Saccharomyces cerevisiae S288C: one gene and its partners. Changing the gene in region 3 together with the main gene of any one other region gives a genetic interaction. Each region holds a gene or a part of one and is shown on either strand. Other genes may lie near its edges.

Evidence for each region.
Region 1: mutations in CHS3 (region 3) and CDC11 together harm fitness more than expected from each alone (negative genetic interaction), as found in Saccharomyces cerevisiae (4 studies listed by BioGRID, with this or other methods).
Region 2: mutations in CHS3 (region 3) and ANP1 together harm fitness more than expected from each alone (negative genetic interaction), as found in Saccharomyces cerevisiae (4 studies listed by BioGRID, with this or other methods).
Region 4: mutations in CHS3 (region 3) and VAN1 impair growth when combined (synthetic growth defect), as found in Saccharomyces cerevisiae (4 studies listed by BioGRID, with this or other methods).

What each region holds. Positions count from the first base shown.
Region 1 is NC_001142.9:574,854-578,671, forward strand, and holds CDC11 (septin CDC11), read right to left. Parts: upstream 1,749-3,818; coding exon 501-1,748; downstream 1-500. Other genes in the region: HOC1 (alpha-1,6-mannosyltransferase), read left to right, coding at 1-318; MIR1 (Mir1p), read right to left, coding at 2,402-3,337. UniProt on the Saccharomyces cerevisiae protein: Septins are GTPases involved in cytokinesis that assemble early in the cell cycle as a patch at the incipient bud site and form a ring approximate 15 minutes before bud emergence, which transforms into an hour-glass shaped collar of cortical filaments that spans both sides of the mother-bud neck.
Region 2 is NC_001137.3:80,439-88,549, reverse strand, and holds ANP1 (Anp1p), read left to right. Parts: upstream 1-3,997; coding exon 3,998-5,500; downstream 5,501-8,111. Other genes in the region: MCM DNA helicase complex subunit MCM3, read right to left, coding at 1-1,613; MTC7 (Mtc7p), read right to left, coding at 1,952-2,371; HYP2 (translation elongation factor eIF-5A), read right to left, coding at 2,401-2,874; UTR5 (Utr5p), read left to right, coding at 3,005-3,505; RAD23 (Rad23p), read left to right, coding at 5,947-7,143; putative acireductone synthase UTR4, read right to left, coding at 7,405-8,088. UniProt on the Saccharomyces cerevisiae protein: Involved in the organization of the secretory pathway. Required to maintain a functional Golgi apparatus.
Region 3 is NC_001134.8:281,532-291,547, reverse strand, and holds CHS3 (chitin synthase CHS3), read left to right. Parts: upstream 1-3,622; coding exon 3,623-7,120; downstream 7,121-10,016. Other genes in the region: OLA1 (Obg-like ATPase), read left to right, coding at 1-867; putative thioredoxin peroxidase SCO2, read right to left, coding at 1,198-2,103; POA1 (ADP-ribose 1''-phosphate phosphatase), read right to left, coding at 7,277-7,810; FUR4 (uracil permease), read right to left, coding at 8,204-10,016. UniProt on the Saccharomyces cerevisiae protein: Polymerizes chitin, a structural polymer of the cell wall and septum, by transferring the sugar moiety of UDP-GlcNAc to the non-reducing end of the growing chitin polymer.
Region 4 is NC_001145.3:37,941-45,823, forward strand, and holds VAN1 (Van1p), read right to left. Parts: upstream 3,855-7,883; coding exon 2,247-3,854; downstream 1-2,246. Other genes in the region: ATR1 (borate transporter), read left to right, coding at 256-1,884; TAF8 (Taf8p), read right to left, coding at 4,103-5,635; DAT1 (Dat1p), read left to right, coding at 6,105-6,851; CTK3 (Ctk3p), read left to right, coding at 7,123-7,883. UniProt on the Saccharomyces cerevisiae protein: Involved in regulation of the phosphorylation of a number of proteins, some of which appear to be important in cell growth control.

The DNA of each region.
Region 1 (3,818 bases), on a different chromosome or scaffold from region 3:
AAGAGGGACGACCAACTAAACGTCAATCTAAGGAATGATCTGAATATTATGAGTTGGACGGGTTCTGGGTTGTGGACTGACACTATTTTCACGTATTTCAATGACTTTATGAGAAGTGGTGTCAGGGAGAAGGTTACATGGAAATTATTCCATAACCTAAATCAACCAAAATTGCTAAGTGATGTTCTGGTCTTTCCAAAATTCTCCTTTAACTGTCCAAACCAAATCGATAATGACGATCCACACAAGAAATTCTATTTCATTACTCATTTGGCATCACAATTTTGGAAAAATACTCCAAAGGTGGAGCAGAAATAAGTACTTCTACGCAGATATAATAAGGAACTTTTTTGTTAATTTTTTTTTGCTGATCGATATTAATACTTTTTAAGAATGAAGAAAAAAAAAAAATAATATACCAGATGTATTTACTTATATACAACACTCACTCTTTATATATATAGAGAAAGAAGAAATAAGTGAGGAAGCCAAAAGCGGACTCATTCTTCCTGTTTGATTTTCGCCTCTTTTTCCAACCTGGCTTCAATTTCTCTTAATTCCTTTTCTCTTTGCAACAGTTCTTGTCTTTTCAACAGCAGTTCTTGCTGAACTCTCTCCTCAAATGCCTTTAGTCGCTCTTCTTCTAACCGTATTTGCTCCTCACGTGTCATGTAGGTTTCGTTATTTTCGCCAGTGCTTTGCCCGTGCATATCGGATGCTGGGTTGAGAACATCGTTATTAATATTATTACTTTGCTTGAAGGGATTTGTGTTTCTCCTTGTTGTGGTGGACGATGACGACGAACCATTCAATTTTGTCAGATTTGGACGTATGGATTCTGCCGCGACAGATTCACCTGATAATGCCTCGGTTCTATATCTTTCATATAATATCTCATGTGTGTAGTTTTTCAAGTCATGTAAATGAGAGATCAATAACGCATTCCTTAAGATAACAAAATCAGAGATCGATGAATCTTCCACGTCCAGTATGCCCCATGGATACTTTCTGCCACGAATTGTCCCAACATCGCCGCCCATTTCGTAAACTTCATTGGATCCAATAATAGCAAAAGGTAGAAGTGTACGTAGGTACATATTGGTTTCGTAATCTTCGTCTGATATTTCATCTTCATCGAAAGGGAAATTATAAATTGGCAAGTTCCATCTGTCGATATCCTCCATGATCAATTTTTTATTCAGTTTCAGTTCATCTCTTGTCAAGGAATCTGATTTGCTGATCACAGGGATGATGTTAACTAAGGATCCCAACTGTCTGATGAATTCCACATCAATCTCTTTTAAACCGTGGCCAGTTGGGTTGATTAAGTAAAGACAACAATGAACTCTGCCGTCCTTAAATCTTGGGTTTCTTCTCACACGACTTTCTTCCAATAAGATTTCATCATATTGGTGGCGAATGTAGTCGGAAATGATTTCGAAAGATGGAGAATTGTCGAGAGAATCACCGAATCCCGGAGTATCGATGATATTAAGTTGAATCTTGACACCTTCATCATCTTCTAATTCGACCGTCTCCTCTCTCAATTGTAAGTCTATTTCTGTGGACGTATCTGTGGGTAACAAGATTGTCGTCGAAGTGTCTACAACTTGCTGACCGCACAAAGTATTTATAAAAGTCGATCTACCAGATCCGGACTGGCCCACGATCATCACAGTGAAGGTTATACCTCTTTTCAAATGCTTTCTTTTTCTTAATGCAGAAGATGCGTCAATTATTCCGGACATGGCTGGTGGTTAGCAACTTTAGGCCTTGTGATGATTGACTTTCTAAACGGCTCCAGATCGGGTCGCCAATACGTGGTGTCTACCTATTTTACTTTTCGATCAAATACTTTTTTGTTTATTTTTCTTTATGTTAGAAGGCGGAAAAATAAAGAATACTGGCGATCCTGCATGGTCGGGTAACGACCCACGAGCATTGTGTTGTGTAAATATAGCCATATTTAAGCTATATTTATCTGTATAACATATACGTGTCCGTATGTGCCCGACCAAATATGTTACTGCGATGAAATGGATTGAGAACGATGTTTAAATGTTATGTTCCATGTTGTGTTTTCCACCAAAAAACCGTGAAGGACAATTCAATGAGCAAAGGGTTTAACGGAGCTATAACCTGCTTTTGTAGATGAAAAAATAGAAAATTCAAATATATATATATATATATATTTATAATAGCATGTTAATTTACAGATATTTGGACTTTTGCAAAGTCAGTAAATACATGGAATAAGAATACTAGTGATTGAATAGAGTACATTTAAACAGATTTATTTATTTCTTTCCTTTGTTGACTCTTTCTTAGAATATGAAAAAAAAAAGGGGCTCCGGTGGTGATGAGGAGAGAATATATATGCATGTATCAATCAAGACCATTTCTAATGACCACCACCACCAATTTCAATGGTTGGTGGGCAACCCAAAGTGCTCTTTAAAGAACCATAAATACCAAATTGCAAGGAGGTCAAGGTACCAACCATGACCAAACGAGTAGGCAACCCAGCAAAGGAACCGAAAAATCCTAACTGTTTGGCCAACTGAGCCAACAAACCGACTGTGGATTGGCCAGGAGCCTTCTTAGTCTTGTTGACCTTGGACAACAGAGTGTCTGCTGGCTGGGAAACAATGGCAGCGGCCAAACCAGCAGTCAAACCGGAAAGCAAATTCAACAAAGTAGTGGAAGTAGAGGACAATTTTTCTTTTGGACCGGCGAACCCGTAGTAGAACTCGGAGGCACGTTCAAAGACCAAGAATTTAGCAATGTTGTAAGGAATTTGCTTGAACAAAATTGGAGTGAACCCACTGTAGAAAGAGCCGATACCTTCTTCTTTCAAAATTCTGGAAAACCCTCCGACGAGTCCATTAGCGAACTGTGGTTGGGAGACCAATCTGATTCTAGTGGCTTCTAGGGGACACAAGGCAATGTCTGCCAAGAATTCGGCCATGGCAGCAGAACCCATGTAAACAGAGTTCTTGTAGCGAGAGGCGGTATCGTAACCCAAGTTGTCAATGAAGAACTTCTTGAACACTTCGTAACCACCGAACTTGAAGGCACCTTGGATAGAGTAACCCAACAAAGTAGGACCAAACCCGGTCAACAACGCACCAGCACCTTCTCCGGCGATGATTTGCTTGAAAGAGCCGACCATACCCTTGTTGTACACGGTAGGTTCCAGTTGGATTCTCGTCTTAACGACATCGATCGGGACCATACTGGAGTGAGTCGACCCGCACCCTATGGCGCCGGCTAGGGCGAATTTCATGTAGTCAGAGACAGAGTACTGTGGAATAGCAGGAGCAGCAGACACAGACATGGTGAGATGAGACTTTTTGATCTTTGTAGTTCTTCTTCTTGCAGATCACTCTGTTCTTTGCGATGGTTCTTGTAGATAAAAAGATCGGGAGGATGGATCGCACTTAAAAATCTTCTCGAAACGGGCCGCGGCCGGGCATGGGACCCGTTCTCGACGCTGATTGGCTAACGATGGTTGGGCAGAGTCTCAGCTGCTGCTTGCTCACATTCGACAAAAGACTAGAGGAAAGCAGTACCATGCTGCGATACTGTTGCATCGCAGCATTCCGCTGTCCAAAAACAATACCTGTTGTATTGTTTGAGGCTGGCAGGCGCTTGGGTAGAAACAACACCCGATACTGGTGACAGGGCTATCTATAAATATTAAAACTTGACTCCGCAATTCGTCGTAAACTGCCTTAACCATCGTAATGGACGCCGTGCAAATGCTTCGACTTTTCCCAGTAGTCAGGCATTGCGCCAGACACTTGTGCTGCTTAATT
Region 2 (8,111 bases), on a different chromosome or scaffold from region 3:
GAGTCCGGTAGGGCAATGTTTTGGTGTGGATCTCTATTGACATCGTACTGCCCAAAAACGGGATTTGCGGCAGCAATAACACTACAACGAGCATTTAATGTTGTGTGAATACCTGCTTTGGCAATCGTCACCGTTTGTTGTTCCATTACTTCATGAATGGCGACTCTATCCACATCTGTCATCTTATCAAATTCATCAATACATACAACCCCGCGGTCAGCAAGAACCATGGCACCAGCCTCTAGTCTTCTTTCACCTGTTTCCCTATCAGTAGTGACCGCTGCGGTCAAACCGACACCGGAAGAACCTCTACCAGTAGTAGCAATTGCCAGTGATGCTGTATTCAACACAAACCTTAGCAATTGGGACTTGGCAGTGGATGGATCACCCACCATTAGGATATTGATGTCACCTCTTAAATGCGAGCCATTTTCTAAATTTTTCTCCACACCTCCCATGAGCATCAATAAAATGGCTTTCTTTATATGGTCATGTCCATAAATAGAAGGCGCTAAAGATTGAGACAAGATATCGAAAATGTCCTTTTTTTTGGATAGTTTATTGATATTTCTTATATCGAAATCTGTCAACATTTGTCTCGCAGCGACACCCGTGGATCTGGCGTGGAGAGGATACACCGTATTACCTAGGATCAGAGTTTTGAACCCGATCAATGTATTAGAGTTGGACTGGTTCATGCCACCAGCACCAAGCGACTTGAATACCCCGACAACGTTAACTCTGTCACCTGGCTTGGTCTTGTCCACAAGGTCGTCATCGAGAATGACGTCAATGGACCTGGGAAGTTGGCCAGCGGGGGCCATTTCGGGCATTTCTTGCACAGTGATACGCTGATGGTCTATGAACGTACTATACCCATATTCGGTGGTTAGTTTGTTACCTTCAGTGTCCTCCGTTGGATAGATGGCAGGCGTTGGGATGCGGGTGGTGAGAGTTGTAGTAGCATCTGTATAATCTCTGTAATGGAATCTACCAGTCTTTGCCGCGTAGTGGACAGATCTGATAAGCTTTGGCCTGACCAACGAAGTCTTAGTTACGATACCCTCAACAGAGACCAGTTTGTTTAAATGTTGTGCCGTTAGAGTACGAGGAGACAATGCGTGTGCACCAAATGAGCCTTTGAACGAAAGCTTCCAAGGATGGCGAGACGATACTGCAGAGGCATTGGGATGTGGAACATCGTCCATGGAATCTGCTAGGTCAGTAAGCGCCTTTTCGGCAGGCGGGATGAAGTATGCTGGTTCGACTAAAATGCCCGACCAGAACGACCTGTCGAATTCTCTCAAGTCATCAAGCGAGATGATAATCCTGTGAGGGAGTATATTCAATGAGGTGGACGATGCTGCTTTCTTTTCCTTTTCAAGATCATCACCGTCGTCATCACCTAGCAAATCTCGTTCGTCTGCGTCATCTTGATCATCGTTGTAGTTGGCCGCGTTATTGCTGTTGTAAACTTGTATGGACCTTACAGAGTCTCTGTATGAGGTGAAAGTATCTAAAAACTCTTGAAATCTGCGCACTCTGTCACCAAACACAGCGTCTGGAGCGAAAAAAGTAGTAGCGTCTCCATCAAATCCCGTTGAGCCTTCCATAATTGACGTTTGTATCTTTTTGGTGCGCTTATAGTGGAGTTCAATACGAGCAGTAGGATGAAAATGCTTCAAGGAAAAGAGCGTAGGCCTTTTCAACTTGAAAGAAGATTAAGAACCTATCTTTCGAGTTTTGACCAAATTTTTCTTTTTTTTCCTAAAACACGAGTTTTTACCCATTTAGGAAAAGTAATTGTTTCTTCTACCGCCTCGATCTGACGAACAAGGGAAATTGAAAAAAAAGAGAAAAATAACGACAACTGCAGGACTCGAACCTGCGCGGGCAAAGCCCAAAAGATTTCTAATCTTTCGCCTTAACCACTCGGCCAAGTTGCCATAACTCATTGAAAATTCTGTTTCCCACATAGGTCAAAACTAATATTTCCCTTGGCCTGCTCTTCAACCTCCCCCGTTCTGAGAGTTCCCTTTTTTTTTTTTTTTTTTTTTTTTTGAGGGGGAAGCGCCGGATTTGCCACCGACCGGCTGCTTGCAGCCGGTAGATATGCGCACATGAAAATCATCCTCCCCAATGAATTACACTGCCTGCATAAGGAAAAAGAAAAGTGTGAAATACGAATAAAAACAAAGTATATTATTGCTATATAGATGATAAATAACAAAATAAATAGAAAATAAAAAAAAGGATTTATTTGTGTATGCTTTAGGAGAACGAAAAAAAAATTGCAAAGAAAAAAACCCGGTTCAGCGAAGAGTACATGATGTGATGGAAGGGGCGTCGGAGTTTTTTTTTCTTTTTTCATTTATATCCCATGCCATGATGTTAACCGGTTTAATCGGTTCTAGCAGCTTCCTTGAAGGAGATGGCGGCTTCTTCACCCATAGCGGAGATGATGGTAACCATCAAGTCCTTACCTTCATCAAAAGCAGTTTGCAAACTGTCACCCAATTCACCTTCTGGAGCCTTGACATCATCCTTAGTGTCACCGTCCATGTTCATCAAAGACAAGAAACCGTCATCAATGTCCAACAATTGGTATTCGTTTCTCTTGACAACTGGAACTTCCATGTTGTGAGTAGATGGAGACAAATCTTCCAACTTCTTACCAGTGAAGATATCAATGGCAACCAAATGGACTTTAGCGTGACCGTGCTTACCAGTCTTAGAAGTGGACATGTCGACAATCTTACATGGTCTACTCTTGATGACAACGAAACCGTTCTTTCTCAAGGCAGAACATTGCATTGGGTAGGTGGCGGAGGAACCAGCGTCAGCAGTTTCAAAGGTATGTTCTTCGTCAGACATTGTATATATGAGTTGGTATTTGTGTGTGTTTGGGAGTCTATGAGTAATTGGCTACAGAAGTAGAATCGTTAGAAAGAAGGAAAGGAAGCAATTGATAGAAGGAGAGGAATTTAGGAAATGAGGGATTCCAATGTCAAGATATGGCAAAAACCTTGTGCATTATATAATCGTGGAACACGACGATCAACGCGGCCAAAAGCCGATCGACGACGACGACGAAAAAAATTTTTATTACCACTGTTCCTTCACCTTCGAAACTTTTTTTCGGGCGACGGCGTTTCTTTTAGCTCCTGCGGTATGTGCGGTGCGGGAGGTCCCTTGTCGCCTCACACGGACCCGATATAACGCTACGGAATACATCGAGGGGTATGGGTGGATGATATCACTGCAGCAAGGTCTGGGTGTTGCAGAATTTTACCGGCCTTGGCCCCTCAGCGTCCAGCTACAGCGTTATACTACTCCAAGTCGCCGTTCCCGTTTTGCTGTTCTCACCCCTCAGAGAAAATGCCACCAGAACGAAGCCAATGGTCAGGACTTATCGTTACTTATACTGTTGAGCCGGATATATCCGCTGTGCTCTAATACCAGCCAAACGAGAAGGGTAGCGGCAAGAAAGGGTAAACTTTCATGATGAAGTTAGCTAGTTCCTTTTACGATTGCTACTATCTCGTTCAACTTGGCCTGCGCTGTTGATGAAAATAGCAGTGACTGCAGAGAATAGAAATGAACCGGGCTCATCTGGTCTAGTTGCCTTCTTTTTTTTATTTTTTTTCATTTTCCTTTTCTTTTCTTTTCTTTTCTTGTCTCACTATGTTGGTTTAATCAATTCGTAATCCCTTTACCAACGCATTGTGTTCAATTTTCCTCTTGTGTGGGGTCGCCCGCCTTGTCTCATCGTGAAAAAATTGCGTAAGATGAAATCATGAAAACATGAAATAAAAAAAATAAATAAAAATAACTACACGATTCAAAAACGCCAAGATCTGTTAGTAGAGACAGCAAGCATTGCAAAACCATTCATCACTCAGTTGCTAGGCGAGTGTTGGTGCGATTTACCCTCATCATCTTTTTTTCGCTCCATTAAACAGTTCCTTGTGGCTTTCATGCAAAGTGTACGTCCATAATGAAGTATAATAACAGAAAACTCTCGTTCAACCCTACCACAGTAAGTATCGCTGGAACGTTGCTTACGGTGTTCTTTCTCACAAGACTCGTGCTTTCGTTCTTCTCGATATCGCTATTCCAGCTGGTAACTTTCCAAGGAATCTTCAAGCCCTATGTTCCAGATTTTAAAAATACTCCCAGCGTAGAGTTCTACGACCTACGAAATTACCAAGGCAACAAAGATGGTTGGCAACAGGGTGACCGCATCTTGTTTTGCGTGCCACTGAGAGATGCTTCTGAGCATCTTCCCATGTTTTTTAACCATCTGAATACCATGACATATCCGCACAACCTGATTGATCTGTCGTTTTTGGTGAGTGACTCTTCGGATAACACCATGGGCGTGTTACTATCCAATCTACAGATGGCGCAATCGCAACAAGACAAGTCCAAAAGGTTTGGTAACATCGAAATCTATGAGAAGGACTTCGGCCAAATCATTGGTCAGTCCTTTTCTGATCGTCACGGGTTTGGCGCCCAGGGCCCCAGAAGAAAGCTGATGGCCAGGGCTCGTAATTGGCTTGGGTCCGTGGCCCTGAAACCATACCACTCCTGGGTTTACTGGAGAGACGTGGATGTCGAAACCATCCCCACTACCATCATGGAGGATCTAATGCATCACGACAAGGACGTCATTGTCCCCAACGTCTGGAGACCTTTACCAGACTGGCTGGGAAACATTCAACCCTACGATTTAAATTCATGGAAGGAATCAGAAGGGGGTCTTCAATTGGCGGATTCCCTAGACGAAGATGCTGTCATTGTGGAAGGGTACCCAGAGTACGCCACTTGGAGACCTCACCTGGCATACATGAGAGACCCAAACGGTAATCCAGAAGACGAAATGGAATTGGACGGTATTGGAGGGGTCTCGATTCTCGCGAAAGCTAAAGTATTCAGAACAGGCTCACACTTTCCTGCATTCTCCTTTGAAAAGCACGCAGAGACAGAAGCATTCGGTAGGCTCTCCCGCAGGATGAATTACAATGTCATCGGCTTGCCCCATTATGTCATCTGGCACATCTACGAACCTTCCAGCGACGACTTAAAGCACATGGCTTGGATGGCTGAAGAGGAGAAGCGGAAACTAGAAGAAGAGAGAATTCGCGAATTTTACAACAAGATCTGGGAGATTGGATTTGAAGATGTCAGAGACCAATGGAACGAAGAAAGAGATTCAATCTTAAAAAACATTGACTCCACTTTGAACAATAAAGTCACTGTAGACTGGTCTGAAGAGGGAGATGGCTCGGAGCTGGTGGACTCAAAGGGTGACTTTGTCTCACCAAACAACCAACAACAACAACAACAGCAACAACAACAACAACAGCAGCAGCAGCAACAGCAACAGCAACAACAGCTCGACGGCAACCCGCAGGGGAAACCTCTTGATGACAACGACAAGAACAAGAAAAAACATCCTAAAGAAGTTCCATTAGACTTCGACCCTGATAGAAACTAGGCTCGGTTTTTTAGTGACCTACATATGAAGTACGAATTCATATAGTTGTACATATATACCGATAATAATATCAAACCTCTATTCTTTGGTCTTTAACTTTTCTTTGAGTGAATTACAATACCATTGTTATATCAATCACTATACACGGCTCGGTGGCGAAATTGAAATTTTTTTATTTTCTTCTCTTTCATTATGGCTAGGCAAGAAATAGCGACAGCAAAACTTAAGAAAAAATGATAGAACAAGGTCCCATCCAGTATTGACTAGTAGCTAAAGCTAGAAGGTACACTTAGGTTTTTCTCCCTGTTTTTAAGTTTGAACCATTGATAAGGCCGTTCGCAGACAAGCTTGCTACCATCCAATTTTCCTTCCTCTAAAGACTTAATAAAGGCATCTAACTCCACCTTTAAATCACAGATCACACAAAGACAACATACAATAGAAAAATGGTTAGCTTAACCTTTAAAAATTTCAAGAAGGAAAAAGTTCCTTTAGATCTGGAACCTTCAAACACAATTTTAGAGACCAAGACCAAGCTTGCTCAATCCATTTCTTGTGAAGAATCTCAAATAAAACTGATCTACTCGGGTAAAGTGCTACAAGATTCCAAAACCGTATCGGAATGCGGGCTAAAAGATGGGGACCAAGTTGTCTTCATGGTTTCTCAAAAAAAGTCCACGAAGACCAAAGTAACAGAACCTCCAATTGCTCCTGAGAGCGCCACTACCCCCGGAAGAGAAAATTCTACAGAAGCATCCCCCAGTACGGATGCTTCTGCAGCTCCTGCAGCCACTGCTCCCGAAGGCTCACAACCGCAAGAAGAACAAACCGCCACTACAGAACGTACTGAATCTGCCTCTACACCGGGATTCGTGGTGGGAACCGAGAGGAACGAGACCATCGAGAGAATCATGGAAATGGGCTACCAAAGAGAGGAAGTCGAACGAGCCTTGAGAGCAGCCTTTAATAATCCAGATAGAGCGGTGGAATATCTACTGATGGGTATTCCAGAAAATCTGCGTCAACCGGAACCACAGCAACAAACAGCCGCCGCAGCGGAACAACCATCGACAGCCGCCACCACTGCGGAACAACCGGCTGAAGACGACTTATTTGCACAAGCTGCCCAAGGCGGTAATGCTTCATCCGGTGCGCTTGGCACAACTGGAGGAGCTACAGATGCTGCGCAAGGTGGACCTCCAGGTTCCATTGGCCTCACTGTAGAAGATTTACTATCGTTGAGACAGGTCGTTTCAGGTAACCCAGAAGCTTTAGCCCCATTGTTGGAAAACATAAGTGCTAGATATCCTCAATTACGTGAACATATCATGGCAAACCCAGAAGTGTTTGTGTCCATGTTGCTAGAAGCCGTGGGTGACAATATGCAAGATGTTATGGAAGGTGCGGATGATATGGTGGAAGGAGAGGATATAGAAGTTACAGGAGAGGCTGCTGCTGCAGGACTGGGACAAGGTGAAGGTGAAGGTTCTTTCCAAGTTGACTATACCCCCGAAGACGATCAAGCTATTTCGCGCCTCTGTGAATTGGGCTTTGAAAGAGATCTTGTTATCCAGGTGTATTTTGCGTGCGATAAAAACGAAGAAGCTGCAGCAAATATTCTATTCAGCGATCATGCCGACTGAGATTGTAGTAATGTTATGGCTTGAAGTATCTTCACTTATTCTCGACAATGTTGCATGATTTTTGAGCCAAGGGAAAAAAAAAGCTTACGTAGAAATCAATAACGTATGTGTATTTATATATGCTAGAAGGGAAAGAAAAGAAAACAGAGAGATGGTAATATTAATCTCAATAATAATAATAATAATAATAATAACAATAATAATAATAATAACAACAACAAATAATGATTATACTGCTTTTAGCGCATATATACAGTTTTGTTAAAGAGTTTCAAAATTCTTGTATACCTGGTACTTTTGCCCATCGGGGACAGGTGCATTACCAGGTCGGGAAGCTAACCCAGTAGCTATTCCAACGCCGGCCGCTGCGTCCAATTCCAATGGATTATCGCTCAAGAACAGTACCTCGCTAGCCTTCGCACCGATATCCCGCAAGATGTTGGCGTAAGACTGTGTTTCGGTTTTCTTTCCAGAAGTGTTGATGTCGAAATAACCATCTATATAAGAATTCAAATCCAACGAATCATGCGCAGGCGCGTTGGGATCCTGAACATACCCGAACAGCAATTTCTGTGCCTTTACAGATCCACTAGAGTAGATAAACACACGCTTCTTCCTCTTGATAAAGTCAATAGCATCTGCATAAACGGGCGCCTTAATCTGCCCAGATTCGTATCCGTGAGCCCAGACGTAGCCTTGCAACTGTTTCAAGATTGGATCCTTCACATCCTTGGCCACCAACTCCAAAATATGCGCCTGCAACTGCTCCTTATTGTCGATGTGAAACTGCGACAGAATGTTGGAAACCGGGGAGTCCCTTGTATCCTGTTGAACCAATTGCGGCACTTTATTCGTGAAATAAGGGAATAAAGTCTCCTTCACGAACGAGATCGGGCACACTGTCCCTTCAATATCAAGCAAGTAAGTCGAGTAATTGTCTCCCATTTTTGGTATACGAGCTAGCAGGA
Region 3 (10,016 bases):
GGTAATGCTTTCTTGTCTCACATCAGATCAGTCGATTCTATCTACCAAGTCGTTCGTTGTTTCGATGATGCTGAAATTATCCACGTTGAGGGTGACGTTGATCCAGTTCGTGATTTAGAAATTATTAACCAAGAACTAAGATTGAAAGATATTGAATTCGCACAAAAGGCTTTGGAAGGTGCTGAAAAGATTGCCAAAAGAGGTGGTCAATCTTTGGAAGTCAAACAAAAGAAGGAAGAAATGGATTTGATTACGAAAATCATTAAATTGCTAGAGAGTGGTCAAAGAGTTGCTAATCACTCCTGGACTTCAAAAGAAGTTGAAATTATCAACTCCATGTTCTTGTTGACTGCTAAGCCATGTATCTATTTGATTAATTTATCTGAAAGAGATTACATCAGAAAGAAAAACAAGCATCTGCTAAGAATCAAGGAATGGGTAGACAAGTACTCTCCAGGTGACTTGATCATTCCATTCAGTGTTTCTCTAGAAGAAAGACTATCTCATATGTCCCCAGAAGATGCTGAAGAAGAATTGAAGAAACTGCAGACAATATCTGCCTTGCCAAAGATTATCACTACCATGAGACAAAAGTTAGATTTGATTTCCTTTTTCACCTGCGGTCCAGATGAAGTTCGTGAATGGACCATCAGAAGAGGTACTAAAGCTCCACAAGCTGCTGGTGTTATTCATAACGATTTAATGAATACCTTTATTTTGGCTCAAGTTATGAAATGTGAAGATGTCTTCGAATATAAGGACGATTCTGCCATCAAGGCCGCTGGTAAGTTGATGCAAAAGGGTAAAGACTATGTCGTTGAAGACGGTGATATCATTTACTTCAGAGCTGGTGCTGGTAAGAATTGATTTCGTGCACTAAAGTTGACTTTTCTTTATTTGGTTTAGTTCCCTACTATATATCATCATAGAAATTTTCAACATGATTTTCTTGAAAGAGAAACGAAAGGAAAAAAGCAATCTCGCGAGTGGATGGCATCGGATTTTATGTATGTGTGTATGTATGTTTATTATTCCCGCATGTTTACGCCCTTAAGCCCAATTAATAATTTGAACTGACAAGCATAATCATTTGACTTTCATTTTTTTTACTATTTTTTTCTATTTACAATGTAACTGTTAAATTGAACGACCCATAAGTTCGGTATCCTAGCTGTGTCTTTTTCTTTTTTTTTTTGCTCAATTGAAGATAAAAGAGTACCATTTTTTTGACCTACGCTCCCGTTCTTCCTTTGGCACATACGCCTGAATTTGTTCACGAATCTTTTCGAGACCAGATTGCTCATCGTAGTTTCTTCCCAACGCATCGATAAACTGTCCTTCAGGGTCGATCAAATAGAAAAATATCGAATGGTCCACTAAGTAATCCTGGTTGGGCTTGACATCACGTGGAGTTGAAAAATATACCTTGTATTTTTTGCATACGCTTTTCACTTGGTCGTACGTACCGGTTAAACCAATGATAGCTGGGTGAAAATCGCTTAAGTACTCTTTCAAGACATCCGGTGTATCTCTTGCAGGATCACATGAGATAAACAATGGCTGTATCTTTATATGGTCTTTATCATCTAATTCAGAAATCCAATACGTTAATCTGTCAAGCTCTTCTGGACAAATGTCGGGGCAATGACTGAATCCAAAGTATAAAATGGAAAACTTACCCTTCAAATTCTCCTCAGTGAAAGGCTTACCATTAAAATCTGTTAAATTGAAAGGACCGCCAAGTGCTACTGAACCGTAAGCTCTGTTAGCATCTGCTTCCTTTTCAGTTTCTAGCAAGCGTCTTTTTCTTGATAAATAGGCATACGTCCCACCACTTAGCAACAATAGAGCAATGGTGGCCTTCCATCTGGAAAATTGAAAAAACCTGGTTCTAATAGGCTCTGGTTCATTGATTTCATCACCTAGTTGTAGCCTATCTAGTGGTTGTCTTGCACTTGGGCTTTCCTTGTTATCACTCCTCAAACAACATCCCGTTGAAAACCCTCTTCGATATGCGCCTCCATTATAAAAGAGTCCTTTTATTGAGACGTTCGCTTGTCTGAATAGGGAACGACAAGCATATTTTCTTGAACTATTCAACATTTTACTCTCGCTTCCCAAATTCCCCTTTCTATGGTGATATTATAAAAGATCCTGTAAGCTGCTGTTTTACGAAGGTATTGTAGACGATCCGTAGCCCTCTTTAGCAATTGTTTGACTACTATCGATGGGACTTCTCGAAATTCATACTTTGTTAGGTTTTCTTTTTTATCCCTAAAAAGAGCGAAAGGATCAAGCAGAAAATTAAAACAATAGGCTACATCATCGAAGTTTCAAAGACCGGCATATCCGTCCATTTTTGAAAACACCCCACCCAAAATTGTAACTATCGACAGATTCTATGATAGCTACCCCGGGATGAAGGGCAGTCTTCTATAACTTGGGGCGGCAAGCAAACCAACCGTCATAGTTAATAAACCACACGTTGGTTATTTAGATTTCTCGTCCTGCTTTTCTGTCGCCAATAGGGCAACCTTAGAAAAGGTTTGAGGATAGTGACTACATGCAATCAAGGTAAAAGCGTTATCGAATAAGTAACAAGCATTCCGTGCTAAATTGACGAGAATTGGCAAGATGCGTCAGCACTATTTGGAGCAAACACACCAACTGGATGTCTTAAAAGTCAATTCAACGACCAATTTATGTAACCAGCGTGACTAGGGCAACGAATTTACGTCTTTTTTCTAAACTGCATATGCTATGAAATTAAAGATATACTGCCTCTATAAAAACATTTATATTTTCCCTCCTTTGCAATGGAAATGAAAACGGCGGTAAAAAAATTCGTGAGAATAAAGAGACGAGTACAAAAGTTCAATTAAAAACGCCAGGAACTGTTCTTTATCTTATTCTCTCCGTACGCTGTGTCACAAAGCTCTTGTATTGTGTCTCGCTTTCTTTTTCCAGATCTATGAAACCAGAATCACACCGCAGCAGCGACGGCTGTACCGTATTTAAGAGAATCCGCATGGGAAAAGATTACAAATTACCCTAGACAAATTTATAGAAGCGGTGCTTGTGAGATTTACTCACATTCTAGGATTCGAGAACTAAGCATTGTAGTTCTTATTTACATCCTTGAACAAATACCTGCCTATCTCCGCACGTACTACGTAGCCACAAATGTATATATAATCGTGCGTTGTATTTGCGCCCTCACCCACATATTTGACATGTGCATGAGACTGGATATTTCTTGAAGCATATTCAATAGCGTCGATGGACAGTTAGCCCGCAGTTGTATTGCATTCAGCACCTGCATAGGTGACCCTCTTTGGCTGCCTATTTGGATAAAACGCGTTATTGGCGCTGGCGCAGACCTCGAAAAAAAAAATCAAAAATGAAAATAAGAGCATAAAAATAGAAATCAAAAATATTCTTTCCTGTGTTTCAGATTTACATTCAGTACCAACATTTCGACTTGTAGTAAATCCTGCTAGAAGAATCACATTGGTAGACGGTTATAAACGTTTACCGATTTGCAAAGTTCTCGAGTATTTTTGGTGTAGGTCCCATTTTCTTCAAAGGTCCTGTTTAGACTATCCGCAGGAAAGAAATTAGAATGACCGGCTTGAATGGAGATGATCCTGATGACTACTATCTGAACCTTAATCAAGATGAAGAGTCTCTACTTAGGTCAAGACACAGTGTCGGCTCAGGAGCACCTCATAGACAAGGCTCTTTAGTGCGGCCCGAAAGAAGCCGACTGAACAATCCTGATAATCCACATTTTTATTATGCGCAGAAAACGCAGGAGCAGATGAATCACCTGGATGTTTTACCATCAAGTACCGGTGTAAACCCAAATGCAACTCGTCGGAGTGGCTCCCTGCGCTCCAAAGGCTCAGTGAGAAGCAAATTTAGTGGCCGCGAAACGGATAGCTATCTTTTACAAGATATGAATACTACTGACAAGAAGGCTTCCGTTAAAATAAGTGATGAAGGTGTTGCGGAAGACGAATTTGATAAAGATGGTGATGTGGACAATTTCGAAGAAAGCTCCACGCAGCCCATAAATAAGTCTATCAAACCATTAAGAAAGGAAACGAATGATACATTGTCATTTTGGCAGATGTACTGTTATTTCATTACGTTTTGGGCACCTGCTCCAATTCTTGCTTTCTGCGGGATGCCAAAGAAGGAAAGACAAATGGCGTGGAGAGAAAAGGTTGCTTTAATTTCTGTCATCTTGTACATTGGTGCGATTGTGGCTTTCCTGACTTTTGGTTTCACTAAAACCGTTTGTAGTAGTTCGAAACTACGTTTGAAAAACAACGAAGTATCAACAGAATTTGTCGTAATTAACGGTAAGGCTTATGAATTGGATACTTCCTCGCGTTCCGGTATACAAGACGTTGAAGTAGATTCAGACACCCTTTATGGGCCCTGGTCAGATGCTGGTAAAGATGCTTCGTTCTTGTTTCAAAATGTGAATGGTAACTGTCATAACCTTATAACTCCAAAGAGTAATTCTTCCATTCCCCATGACGATGATAATAATTTAGCATGGTATTTTCCTTGTAAGTTAAAGAATCAAGATGGCTCTTCGAAGCCAAACTTCACAGTTGAAAATTACGCAGGATGGAACTGTCATACGTCTAAAGAAGATAGGGACGCATTTTACGGTTTAAAGTCGAAAGCTGATGTTTACTTCACTTGGGATGGTATAAAGAACTCTTCTAGAAACTTGATTGTTTATAATGGCGACGTTTTGGATTTAGATCTTCTTGATTGGTTGGAAAAGGATGACGTTGACTATCCCGTTGTATTCGATGACTTGAAGACTTCAAATTTACAAGGTTATGATCTTTCGTTGGTTTTGTCAAATGGGCATGAAAGAAAAATTGCGAGATGTTTGAGCGAAATTATTAAAGTTGGTGAAGTAGACTCCAAAACCGTCGGTTGTATTGCCTCTGATGTCGTTTTGTATGTTTCTCTGGTATTTATTCTTTCAGTGGTGATAATTAAATTCATAATTGCCTGCTACTTCCGTTGGACTGTAGCTAGGAAACAAGGTGCATATATCGTGGACAATAAAACAATGGATAAACACACAAACGATATCGAGGATTGGTCTAATAATATTCAAACAAAAGCTCCTCTAAAGGAAGTAGATCCTCATTTGAGGCCAAAGAAATACTCAAAAAAGTCGTTGGGACACAAGCGTGCTTCAACCTTTGACTTGCTGAAAAAACACAGCTCCAAAATGTTTCAATTTAACGAATCTGTGATAGATCTAGACACCTCCATGAGCAGTTCACTACAATCTTCTGGTTCATACAGAGGAATGACAACAATGACCACTCAAAATGCTTGGAAACTCTCGAATGAAAACAAAGCTGTACATTCCCGTAATCCATCTACTTTGTTGCCTACATCCTCGATGTTTTGGAATAAAGCGACTTCCTCTCCTGTACCAGGATCATCGCTGATTCAGAGTCTTGATTCGACGATTATACATCCCGATATCGTTCAACAACCACCACTGGATTTTATGCCATACGGGTTCCCATTGATTCATACTATCTGTTTTGTTACTTGTTATTCTGAGGATGAAGAGGGTTTAAGAACCACTTTAGACTCTCTTTCTACCACAGATTATCCAAATTCCCATAAACTACTGATGGTTGTTTGTGATGGTTTAATTAAGGGCTCGGGCAACGATAAGACTACTCCAGAGATAGCGTTAGGAATGATGGACGACTTTGTCACCCCACCTGATGAAGTTAAACCTTACTCCTATGTGGCAGTGGCATCAGGCTCTAAAAGACACAATATGGCCAAGATATATGCGGGTTTTTACAAATATGACGATTCTACAATTCCACCAGAAAATCAACAACGTGTCCCAATCATTACAATTGTGAAGTGCGGTACTCCTGCAGAGCAGGGGGCCGCCAAACCCGGTAACAGAGGTAAGCGTGATTCTCAAATTATTCTGATGTCCTTTTTAGAAAAAATAACATTTGATGAAAGAATGACTCAATTGGAATTTCAGCTTTTAAAAAATATTTGGCAGATTACGGGGCTAATGGCAGACTTCTACGAAACGGTACTTATGGTTGATGCTGATACTAAAGTCTTTCCCGATGCTTTAACTCATATGGTCGCTGAAATGGTTAAAGATCCTTTGATTATGGGTCTTTGTGGTGAGACCAAGATCGCTAATAAGGCACAATCTTGGGTAACTGCAATTCAAGTGTTTGAGTACTATATTTCGCATCATCAGGCTAAAGCTTTTGAATCTGTCTTCGGTTCGGTAACTTGTTTGCCGGGATGTTTCTCAATGTATCGTATAAAATCTCCTAAAGGTTCAGATGGTTATTGGGTACCTGTATTGGCAAATCCAGATATTGTTGAAAGATATTCGGATAATGTTACAAACACTTTGCATAAGAAGAACTTATTATTACTTGGTGAAGATAGATTTTTATCTTCATTAATGTTAAAGACTTTCCCTAAGAGAAAGCAAGTATTTGTTCCAAAAGCTGCTTGTAAAACTATTGCCCCTGATAAATTCAAAGTCTTACTTTCCCAGCGTCGAAGATGGATTAATTCTACGGTACATAACCTTTTTGAATTAGTTCTAATCAGAGACTTATGTGGCACTTTCTGTTTTTCCATGCAATTTGTGATTGGTATTGAATTGATTGGTACTATGGTACTGCCGTTAGCCATTTGCTTTACTATTTATGTCATTATTTTTGCCATTGTATCAAAACCTACACCCGTAATCACTTTAGTTTTACTGGCAATTATTCTTGGTCTGCCCGGCTTAATTGTTGTTATAACTGCTACGAGATGGTCGTACCTATGGTGGATGTGCGTATATATTTGTGCTTTGCCTATTTGGAATTTCGTACTACCTTCATATGCGTACTGGAAATTTGATGACTTCTCATGGGGTGATACGAGAACTATTGCGGGAGGTAATAAAAAGGCACAAGACGAGAATGAAGGTGAATTTGATCACTCAAAGATTAAAATGAGGACATGGAGGGAATTTGAAAGGGAAGATATTCTCAATCGGAAGGAGGAAAGTGACTCCTTCGTTGCATAGACAGTATGAAAATATTTTTACTGTGATACTTACAAGTTGATATATGGTTGTGTGTAACTTATTTATTTGAGAGGTATTTTAACACACCTTAGAACTAAAACTTAATAAATAAATATTTCTCTATCTTTAAAGGCACATATTACGTGGCTAAGGCAATTACAGCTGATATACTGTAAAACTCATGTCGCCACTAAATTCTTCTAACACGCGTTCTGTCTCTTTCCAAGGGACTCCGAATATGCCACTATTTATCTGTGGCATTTCCAATTTATATTCCCCTATTGGGTATTTGATGTGGCCGTTTAAATAGTCACCGATTGAATCTTCACTTGTTCGAGTTTTGTCTTTTGCTTCTCTAAAGGTCTTCAATTTATCTAAAGCAAGTTTTGTATAATTCAAAATACTTTGCTTTTCTCCATGACTTGAACCTCCAAATGATGATGTAAACAAGCAACAAATCAGCAGATCTGAGTTTTCGTAACTGGGAAGTAATATGCATTTGCCTAGTAAATTAGAACCATACTTTTCGCATACTTCAACGTAATCTTTCTCTGCTTTTGGGTAGCGCAAAGCAAGTTGATAAGCGATCCCACCACCCCACGAGCCATTGCAGTTGCAAGAATGGATGAGGATCCTAGCATATGACTTTGGTTTTAAGATGTTACCTTTGACATAAGTGATGTTCGACATACCTGTAACTTGATGCTATATTTATCTTGGAGAAGATACTAATAAACTCAAACTTTTCGTGTAGAAATCTGGGCTTCAAGTTCGCATAGCATAACGAATCGTAAAGTTATGCATATGGCATAATACAACAATTATCCATTTTTTCTCGTGTGTAAAAAGAGAAAGGAGAGAGGAAAGAACGCTAAGCCATAAAGCAAACAAAAAATCGAATGAAAGTGAGTGAATATATTAAAACCAGTGAAATTAATGCTCATTGAAGGCCAAATGCACAAAGTAAATGCTAAAGAGAACGTAAATAGAAGTAAGTAGTATAGATAAGGATTAATATCATTACACATGAAAATTTGAAAAATATTTCAGATTAATGCAGAAAGTGATGTAGATATGGAGAGCTTAAATGAAAGTCTTTTCGTGTTCGTGTTCGTAGACACTAATATTGTCATCTACCAGGTCATCCCTCTCAATTGTGTCTTTCCACTCTTCTTCAAAATCATCGACATTGGCCCATCTTTGGAACCAGCCCTTGTCCTTTATAATGTTGTTAACAGGGCACCCAGGTACAGGGAAGAAGTAACACAGAGCAGTATAAGAAGAAAAACTCAAGCCATATCCTACCCAGTAACTTAGGTAATATAGTTTCATAGCTCCATCAGAAACCTTTATAGCGGGAGCGCCCACCTCCGCGATGAAACCGGGCAAGCAAGGAGCCACCCCACATAGATATGCAGCCAAAGCTCTCCAATTGATACCAAACCTGTTTCCGTACATATAAAAAGAGCCCTTTTGATGGGAATATATGTGTGTTAGCTTGATATATCCTCTTCTAACAACAAAGTAATCTGAGCAGACAACACCGGCAATACTGGACAAAAAGATAGCATATGCGGACAAAGCCATTGTAAATTTACTTGATGTTGCCATTAAATTCCATGGACAAATACACAGCGCCATGGCTGCACAAAATAATGAACCACGCTTGATATTGATAAACTTGGGGAAAATAGCGGACATATCAGTTCCACACGATAATGAGTTTGCAGAAATATTAGTACCTAACTGAGCTACGGCGAAAACAAAAGAGATTAAGAAAACACCAGCTCTTGTGCCCTTATTATAAGTAGTCTGTAAAAATTTTTCTAGCACATCGAGTGGCGACCAGTAATTAATACCGTATATTTCATAACCAGCTGCGGTGACTAGAATTCCAATTAAACAAGTGATGGAAAACAAAAATGGAATGCACACTAATTGGGACCATAAAGCGGAGTTAGGGTTTTTTGAAAATCTAGAGAAATCTGGAGCGTTGATTACCATTGTGGAGAAATTAGCCATACAACCCATTAGTGATCTTAGAAAAGCCCACGAAAAGGCAGAGCCATGAGGTTGTACATCGGTTAAAGATCCTAAGGCAATACGCCCGTGAGCTCTTCTGATAGCCCAAATTAAGAAACCAAAAGAAGCAAACGGAACCAAGACGGCTTTAACAGTAAACAGGTGTCTAATTTTGTGAGGTGGAACCAGTAAAAATGGAAGACTGGCAGCCCAAAAGATAAAAAAACACATGAACTCGTAAGTAGTAGCATTCGGTGATCCAAAGTGATCTGGGATTTTGTCTTGTAAATCTTTTCCAAAGATAGATTTCAGCATTAATGATACGGGAGTTGCCGCAATATAAGCTTGGACACTATACCAAACGATGGCCATGACGACTCTGTTAATAACGGGCCATAAAGAGAAGAAAATACCGAATGATGCTCTAGATGATATAGGGAATGACAAATGATAAGCAGATCCAACTCTAGAGGCCAAAACAACAAAAGCACCAACGAAACCGTACCCAATCCAAATTGTTATCCAACACTGCCACCAATTTAGACCCAGTTGTAGACCTGTAGCTGCAATTTGCCAAGTGTTGATATTGAAACATTCAGCAAGCCAGAAGTAACAATAATTGTACCAGGACCAAACCCGCCTTTCTTTTTCGACGGGCTTCAAGTCCTGGTTGTACATAAATGAATCCAGAATAGAAACACCCAAGATTGATTTGTCAACGACCACATATTCATAATAGATTTTCTTCCAGAATGAGCTGTATTGAGGTTTTTCTGAGCTTACTTTTTCTTCAAAGCTCGATGCCTCATAAACTTCGGTAGTTATATTACTCTGAGATGACTTATACTCTTTTTCCAAATCCACATTATTTGGC
Region 4 (7,883 bases), on a different chromosome or scaffold from region 3:
TCGTTTCGTTAGCGACGACGTCAAGCCGCAGGATCCTGTCTGCCTTGACCTCTTCTCTACCTTCAGAACTTACACTTTTCAGGTAAGATGACCTTTATATAAAAGTTGACACTATTACAGTTGTTTATAAACGTCTGAAGAATGAGACGTTTTTATAAAATGAATAAAATGCATATTCTAAGTTTAAAACAACATTTTCAAAGTGTACGATTGTAAAAAGAGAGGCAATTAGAGAATCTCAAACAGGTAATAATAATGGGCAATCAGTCATTAGTTGTGCTTACGGAAAGTAAGGGTGAGTATGAGAATGAGACAGAACTACCTGTTAAAAAATCGTCACGAGATAATAATATCGGAGAATCTTTAACAGCAACAGCTTTTACGCAGTCTGAAGATGAAATGGTAGATAGCAATCAGAAATGGCAGAACCCAAACTATTTTAAATATGCATGGCAAGAATATCTTTTTATATTCACATGCATGATAAGTCAGCTTCTAAATCAAGCAGGCACTACACAGACTCTTTCGATCATGAATATTCTTTCGGACAGTTTTGGCTCAGAAGGAAACTCAAAGTCATGGCTGATGGCATCTTTTCCGCTAGTTTCAGGCTCATTTATTTTGATTAGTGGCAGACTAGGTGACATATACGGATTAAAAAAAATGTTGTTAGTAGGATATGTTCTGGTTATTATATGGTCTTTGATTTGTGGGATTACCAAGTATTCTGGTAGCGATACTTTTTTTATTATTAGTAGAGCCTTCCAAGGGCTAGGGATTGCATTTGTTTTACCTAATGTGCTGGGAATAATTGGTAATATATATGTAGGTGGTACTTTTCGTAAAAACATCGTGATTAGTTTTGTTGGTGCGATGGCCCCTATTGGAGCAACTTTAGGTTGTCTTTTTGCAGGACTGATCGGTACCGAGGACCCAAAACAATGGCCATGGGCATTCTACGCGTATAGCATAGCCGCTTTCATTAATTTTGTGCTCTCCATATATGCCATTCCGAGTACTATACCAACAAATATTCATCATTTTTCTATGGATTGGATTGGTTCTGTTTTGGGCGTGATAGGTCTCATTTTATTAAATTTTGTGTGGAACCAAGCTCCTATATCGGGTTGGAACCAGGCTTACATCATCGTAATTTTAATCATTTCTGTGATTTTTCTTGTCGTTTTCATCATTTATGAGATTCGATTTGCCAAGACTCCACTATTGCCGCGCGCAGTTATAAAGGATCGTCATATGATTCAAATTATGCTGGCTTTATTCTTTGGATGGGGCTCTTTTGGCATCTTTACGTTTTATTATTTCCAATTTCAATTAAATATAAGGCAGTACACGGCATTATGGGCTGGTGGAACTTACTTTATGTTTTTAATTTGGGGTATTATTGCCGCCTTACTGGTAGGATTTACTATCAAGAATGTGTCTCCATCAGTGTTTTTGTTCTTTTCTATGGTAGCATTCAATGTGGGCTCAATAATGGCAAGTGTTACACCGGTTCACGAGACATACTTTCGTACTCAGTTAGGAACGATGATAATTTTAAGTTTTGGGATGGATCTTTCATTTCCTGCTTCTTCCATTATCTTTAGTGATAATTTACCGATGGAGTACCAAGGCATGGCTGGGTCATTGGTGAATACTGTTGTCAATTACTCCATGTCCTTGTGTCTCGGTATGGGTGCCACAGTAGAGACACAGGTCAATTCAGACGGAAAGCATCTTTTGAAAGGCTATAGAGGTGCTCAGTACCTTGGGATAGGATTGGCAAGTTTAGCATGCATGATTAGCGGGCTTTACATGGTCGAAAGCTTCATAAAAGGCCGCAGGGCAAGAGCTGCTGCAGAATACGATTGCACTGTGGCTTAGCGGAAAGCGGTTATTAAGGTAAATAGATAGAAATACACCGCTGTCATGCGATTATATAGACATGGGGCATTTAGACACTGAAAGTCTTCATATCTCAACATGCAACTAGTAATAGTACAATTTTTAGTACCCTTTAATCTTTATTGTTCGCTCCCTAATAACGAAGCCTTGAACTGTAACCAGATCCCAGGTTACCCCTTATCCTTAAGAGGTCTTTTATTTACTCTACATAATATATATTTTTCAATCCATTGAAGAGGATTAAAAGAAGAAAAATCAATACCGAACAAAAAAACAAAACGAAATAAAACAAAACAAAAAATTAAATTAAATTAAATTAATATTAAATGTCATCATGATTCTTACTCTGATTGTCTTCTCTTCTCTCTTTCCCTTGACGCAATTTCCTTCAAATCGTCATCGCTCGGTTCATAAATATGCCAAATAGTATAATGCGGTAAACCACCAACCCTGTACCCCATTTTCTTTGCCATTTTACCAAATGCTTCTGTTTCTGCATGATTTTCAAAAGTAAATGCAGGAAACTGTACCCCGTTTCTAAATATTTTGGCCTTCGCCAAAATAGAAACTCCCCCTACACCGTCCAAGTCCACCGCTTCATTTGGATCACCTTCTGCATCTCTGATATAGGCTAAGTGAACTCTCCACGTAGGATATTCTGCATAGCCTTCTACAATAACATCATCTTCGTCAAGAGTCTTTGCCAATGCTAGTGCCTCCTGAGATTCCATCCAAGAATTCAAATCATATGGTTGTTCAGTTCCCAAAAATGTAGGTAGTGGTCTCCAAACGTTAGGGACGATAACATCGTAGTTTTTGCTCATCAAATCTTGAATGACTGAACCAGGGCACAGCTCTACATCAGCATCTCTCCAATAAACCCATGAGTGGTAAGGTTTCAAAGCATTGGCAGTTAACCAATTTCTTGCCCTCCCCATTAGTTTTCGTCTTATACCTTGAACCTTAACGGCATGTCTGTCACTAAAACCTTGTCCAATTACTTGGCCAAAATCCTTTTGGAAAATTTGTACTGATCTAAATGGCTTGTCATAATTTTCATGGAATGGTGGTGAAAATGCCTGGTGGACACGGTTGATATAACCTTCGTCCATATATTTAAGATATAATTTATCGGTGCCTTTTGTTTGCGAATCAATGACAGCGTCAATCTCTTGAAAAATCTGAGACAACGTGCCATTTTGTAAGTGCCTAGAATACGCTATTAAAGCATCCAACGTAGTGTCACCTTCTGAGCAATCACTGACTAAAAAGGCCAGATCAATCAGCTCGTGTGGATAGGTTAGGTTCATTAAATGCTTGAACATTAATGGCAATACATCCGCAGCGTTTCTTAGTGGAATGCATAAAAGAATGTGATCACGTGTTTCCAATCCATTCGGAGCACCTTCAAAATTCGACAGGTCGTACTCCTCAACAGTGGAATCAAAAAGCATGTTGAGTTCCCTTTGGTATTTTTCATCATCCTTGGGAGTCAACACTTCTGAACCAAATTGTGATATTAGATAATGTTGCACACCATCATCAAATTTTGAAATCACTTCAGGATCGATATCCTCAAAATCATAGTCGTAATATTCTTCATCTTCTAGGTCGATAGTCTTGTAATTTTCGGAGGATTTTGAGGAACCCAACAACGACCTACCATTTTGCGTGGATACACCAATGCCCATTCCGGAGAGAAATGATATAAAGAGATATAACGACAGAACGGCGATAATAATAAGAGATGTGATACTCACCGTAAGCTGGAATTTAGACGGTGTGGAGCGCGGCTGGTACCTGTATTTGCCCTTTAATGAGTTGGAGTTATGCTCTGAGCGTTTGTCCTTGATGTTGTTCGAGCTACCGTTCCTTGAAATGGGCAGGCTTAGTCCATTGTCCATGGCTTTCTTCTTTATATTTGACCTTAAATTAAAAAACATGCCCATTTTTTTGTGTTAATTGGTAGGTCAACAAGCTCAAATGACTGTTACTGCACCCTTACGTCTACTTCTTTCACGTTACCATTTACTAATTTACAAGACGTAAACTTTCTTTGATTCTAAATATTTCAAGCCTTGTTTCGGTATAGTCGCCGAAGAACGAAAAAAAAAAAAAAAAAAAATTCCTCTCCGGAGATAAATTGAATACGTATTATTATATTAGGGACAAACACTGGTTCACTGAAAGCAGTTGTTTACATAGTTATATCGTGATCTGTGGCTATATCTGCAGGAGGAGATGTCGGGGCGTTTTCATTAGGCGTCGAATGAGGAGAGTGACTTGTAGTAGCATCGATATTGGTTGTGTTATGTGCTACAGGTGTAGTATTTGTAGTATCTTGCGCTGTCATTGTTGGCGGTTCCGATTCCGCGACCAGGTTCTCCGCAGGCATACTCGACATTTCATTCTCATCTTCACTGCTCCCTAAGATGCCAAATAAGTTTATGTCATCGTCCTCATCCTCGGCGTTTGTGTTGATAACTATGGTAGAGTTGTTTAATGCATTAGGGGTGGTCGTGTCGTCTGCAGCGTCCCTTGCGTGCTCGTTATTTAGTAGAAGCTCAAGATCATGGCCTTCATCTTGTTCCCTCTTTGTTCGTTGTGAAATAAGCTCTTCTTGCCGACGTTTTAGCGATTTTGCTCTTTCTTCCTTGGCCATTCGTATTTTTTCCTTCTTCAACTTCTGGACCTTAGGTAAATTGTGCATGAATAGTGTCATAGACTTACGAAATTGCAATTCTATGGTTTTTTGTATGGTTTTGTGAGACTGGTGAGGACTCTCTGGAAGGTAGAGAGTTTCAGAAATTTTCAAGAATGGATTTTTTGTTCTTTTCAACTGATTCACTTCAAATTTCGTGACACGTTCTCTCGCCAATTCCACTCTATACTTCGCATACTGCTCGATATTGTTTTCATTGAAGGACTTTTCAGTTATGGTTGGTTTCCTTTCTTCCAGCGCGTTGCCCCAAATCTCCAATTGTTGCTCGATAGCGTCCTCATCGTCTAAACCCGGCGGTTGCGGGGTATTTGACGCTGATGATATGTGGGAGAGACTTTTGTTCAAGTTCAATAGTGCCTTTTCAGACTCTTGGCTTTCTTTTACTATTTCTTTCTTGATGGTTTTTAGATCAGTAATTGGATGGTTGAACTCAGGTGTAAACTTATAGGTATGGTCAGGCGGAAAGTTGGGCAGCCAACTCGGTATCTGTTTTTCCAGTGGGTTAGAGGGAGGCAGCAAAACGTTGATCTCGTTCTGTTGCTCCTCGATATTATTCAATTCGTCCTCTTCATCTTCTTCGTTATGCGGTAAAGCAGCAAGAGACGACCAGCTCATCAATTTTTCATATTCCGTGGAATGCTTCGATTTGATGAATTCTGAGGCCTGAAACTGCTGATAAAGGGAGGGCGCATCCAGGTTAAACTCTCGAAGCAACAATTTCAAATCTGCTTGAGAAGCTTGCGACCTTCTTTGTAAAAGTGTTAAATTGTGCAGGTTCCGAAACATGCCGTCCATTTGGACGGTCACGAGGTTGACCAGCTCATCCAATGCAAAGTTTGAAATGCAGATGTTCAACGAATTCAACTGGAAAAGTACTGTTTTCTTTAGAATTTCAACTACGGGAGCATCTATTTCCAAGTGACTAATTTCCGTCAAATCCGGTAGGTTCCTCAGCTGAACTATGGTACTTTGGGTACCGGTACCACTTTCTGACGTTTTGGAAGTCATTGCCCTTTATGAGTCCCTCAATTACACGTTTGTTTGCTTGCTTGCCTCTCTCTCCATTGCTTTTACTCTCTTTTTTAAAGAGTTCAAGATTTTCTACATAAAAGCATCGGGTAACACTCCCATATACACCATTTGTGCTTAAGCTGGCTTCTACCAGTCGCGTTTCAAGCGACTTTATTGATCGCATCAGCGTAGAACAAGAACAGAACTATGTATGCAAACAGGACTAATCATCTTCAGTTATCTTACTTTAGTTTGCAACTATTTATATCATGTTTTCTTTTCAACTTCTTTTTTTTTTTTTCGTTTATGAAGCCGATGCTAATGCATCAATTTTTTTTTTTTGGTGATGAGTTTTGAAAGAAAATGAAAAAAAAAAAATTTCTATTATTGTCAGTGGAGTTTTTGAACAGATCACCTTGTGAATCTACAAACTGTCCTAAAGTATATTGGAGCAGGACATTGGGTGATGGCGAAAACTTTGGCACAAGGAAGGAAACCTGGAAGCGGCAGAAAGCCCGGAAAAGGGAAGACGTTGAGAGAGGGAAGAAAGCCTGGCAGTGGTAGGAGGAGGAGGCAAGATACTGGGGGTAAAGAGACCGACGGGTCTCAGCAAGATCAGGAGTCGCGTCTTATTAGTTCCAGGGACATGGAAGCTGTGGACGCACTGAGAGAGTTGACGCACAGCCCGTCGTCTCACTCAGCTCATAATTCATCAGCAGCACCACCGCCGCATGCAGCAGCGGCGTCAACTTCATTGCCTCCATCTCTGGATTATACCCATCAGTCATTCATGGATCAACAACAACAACAGCAGCAGCAGCAGCAGCAACAACTACTACAGCAACAGAGAGTGGACGTCGTTCCGCCCAAGCCGTTCATCACCCACAAGATCCTGTTATCTTCAACGGGAAACTCTGGCGGCCACGTGAATTCAAATTACAACGCCGACCACAGCATTAATCATAATTCAAACCACAACCTTAACAGCAACGTGAACGTGAACATGAACTTTACTATAAATGGGAGCAATCAAGACCCGTCATCTTCTTTCCTGATGGGGCCCTACAACTACTTACAGCGGCCTTTCATTGTGAAACCATATCTTGATCTGTCCACAAGCACAGCAGCATCAAATCAGCCACGGACGCAACCATCGCCGGCAGCACATATCACTAAGAATTCCGATTCTACAGAGAAAAACGCAACCATATGACATTCATTTCCAGCATACCACTAAAACATTCGTATATGCCACATAATAACTAGTTGAGAAAACCATAGATATTTATATTTATATGTATTTGTACTTCTTTGAGCAATGTATATTTAAGACTGATCTCAACTTCAGCAACTGTTCAAATTCACTGTTTTTCCTAATTAAGCACAACATGAAAAACTAGAATTTTAGAAAGAAAAGGAAAAAGAATACCAGATGGTAGTTAATTTCTCACAAAAGCACTGCCAGGTAAAGGTATACAGCAAGGATGGACTCTCTTGAAGCTAGATTACAATTCATTCAGGTCCTGAAGAACCTGCAAAAGACGCTGCACAAGACCAGAGACTCTATCACATCATCGTCGACCACCACACCACCGTCATCGCAACAAAAGCTGAACAATGACCCTATACAGTTCTACTTGAGAAACTACAGACATCACTACGAGGACTTCCACCAATGTTTGTTCGATACAACCATGAAGATGGACCCACTAGATAGACTGGACGTAGTGATATACTATGTTAGAATAATAAGAAACTTATATCCGCATAGCCATTCCAATACCAATGTTACAAAAGTGTTAAACGAAGTGCTACTCATGGACATAGACTTGGTTTTTGAGCTTTGTCTGCCCTGCCAGGACTGGAAATCCCTCACGAATCAAGCCACCTGTAAAGAGCTATTCCTTGACTTATCCAAACTAATCCATTACGACGCCACCAGCGTCACGCACACACCATCAGACACCACACTCATAGACGCTACTACCTGGTACAGTGTCAAGACAGAGAGGACTACAAAGGACTATAAAGAATCATTGCAACGAACGGAGTCTCTGCTTAAGGACAGAGACTTGAAGAAATTGGCTTTCTTTCAGCAGTTCAATTCCGATACAACTGCGATCAACCCGGACTTACAGACGCAGCCAACCAATGCAAACATTTTGTTGCACAGGATGGAAGCAGACAGGGAACTGCACAAGAGGTCGAAAGAGACAAGTTGGTACATCGAAAGGCCCTCCAACGA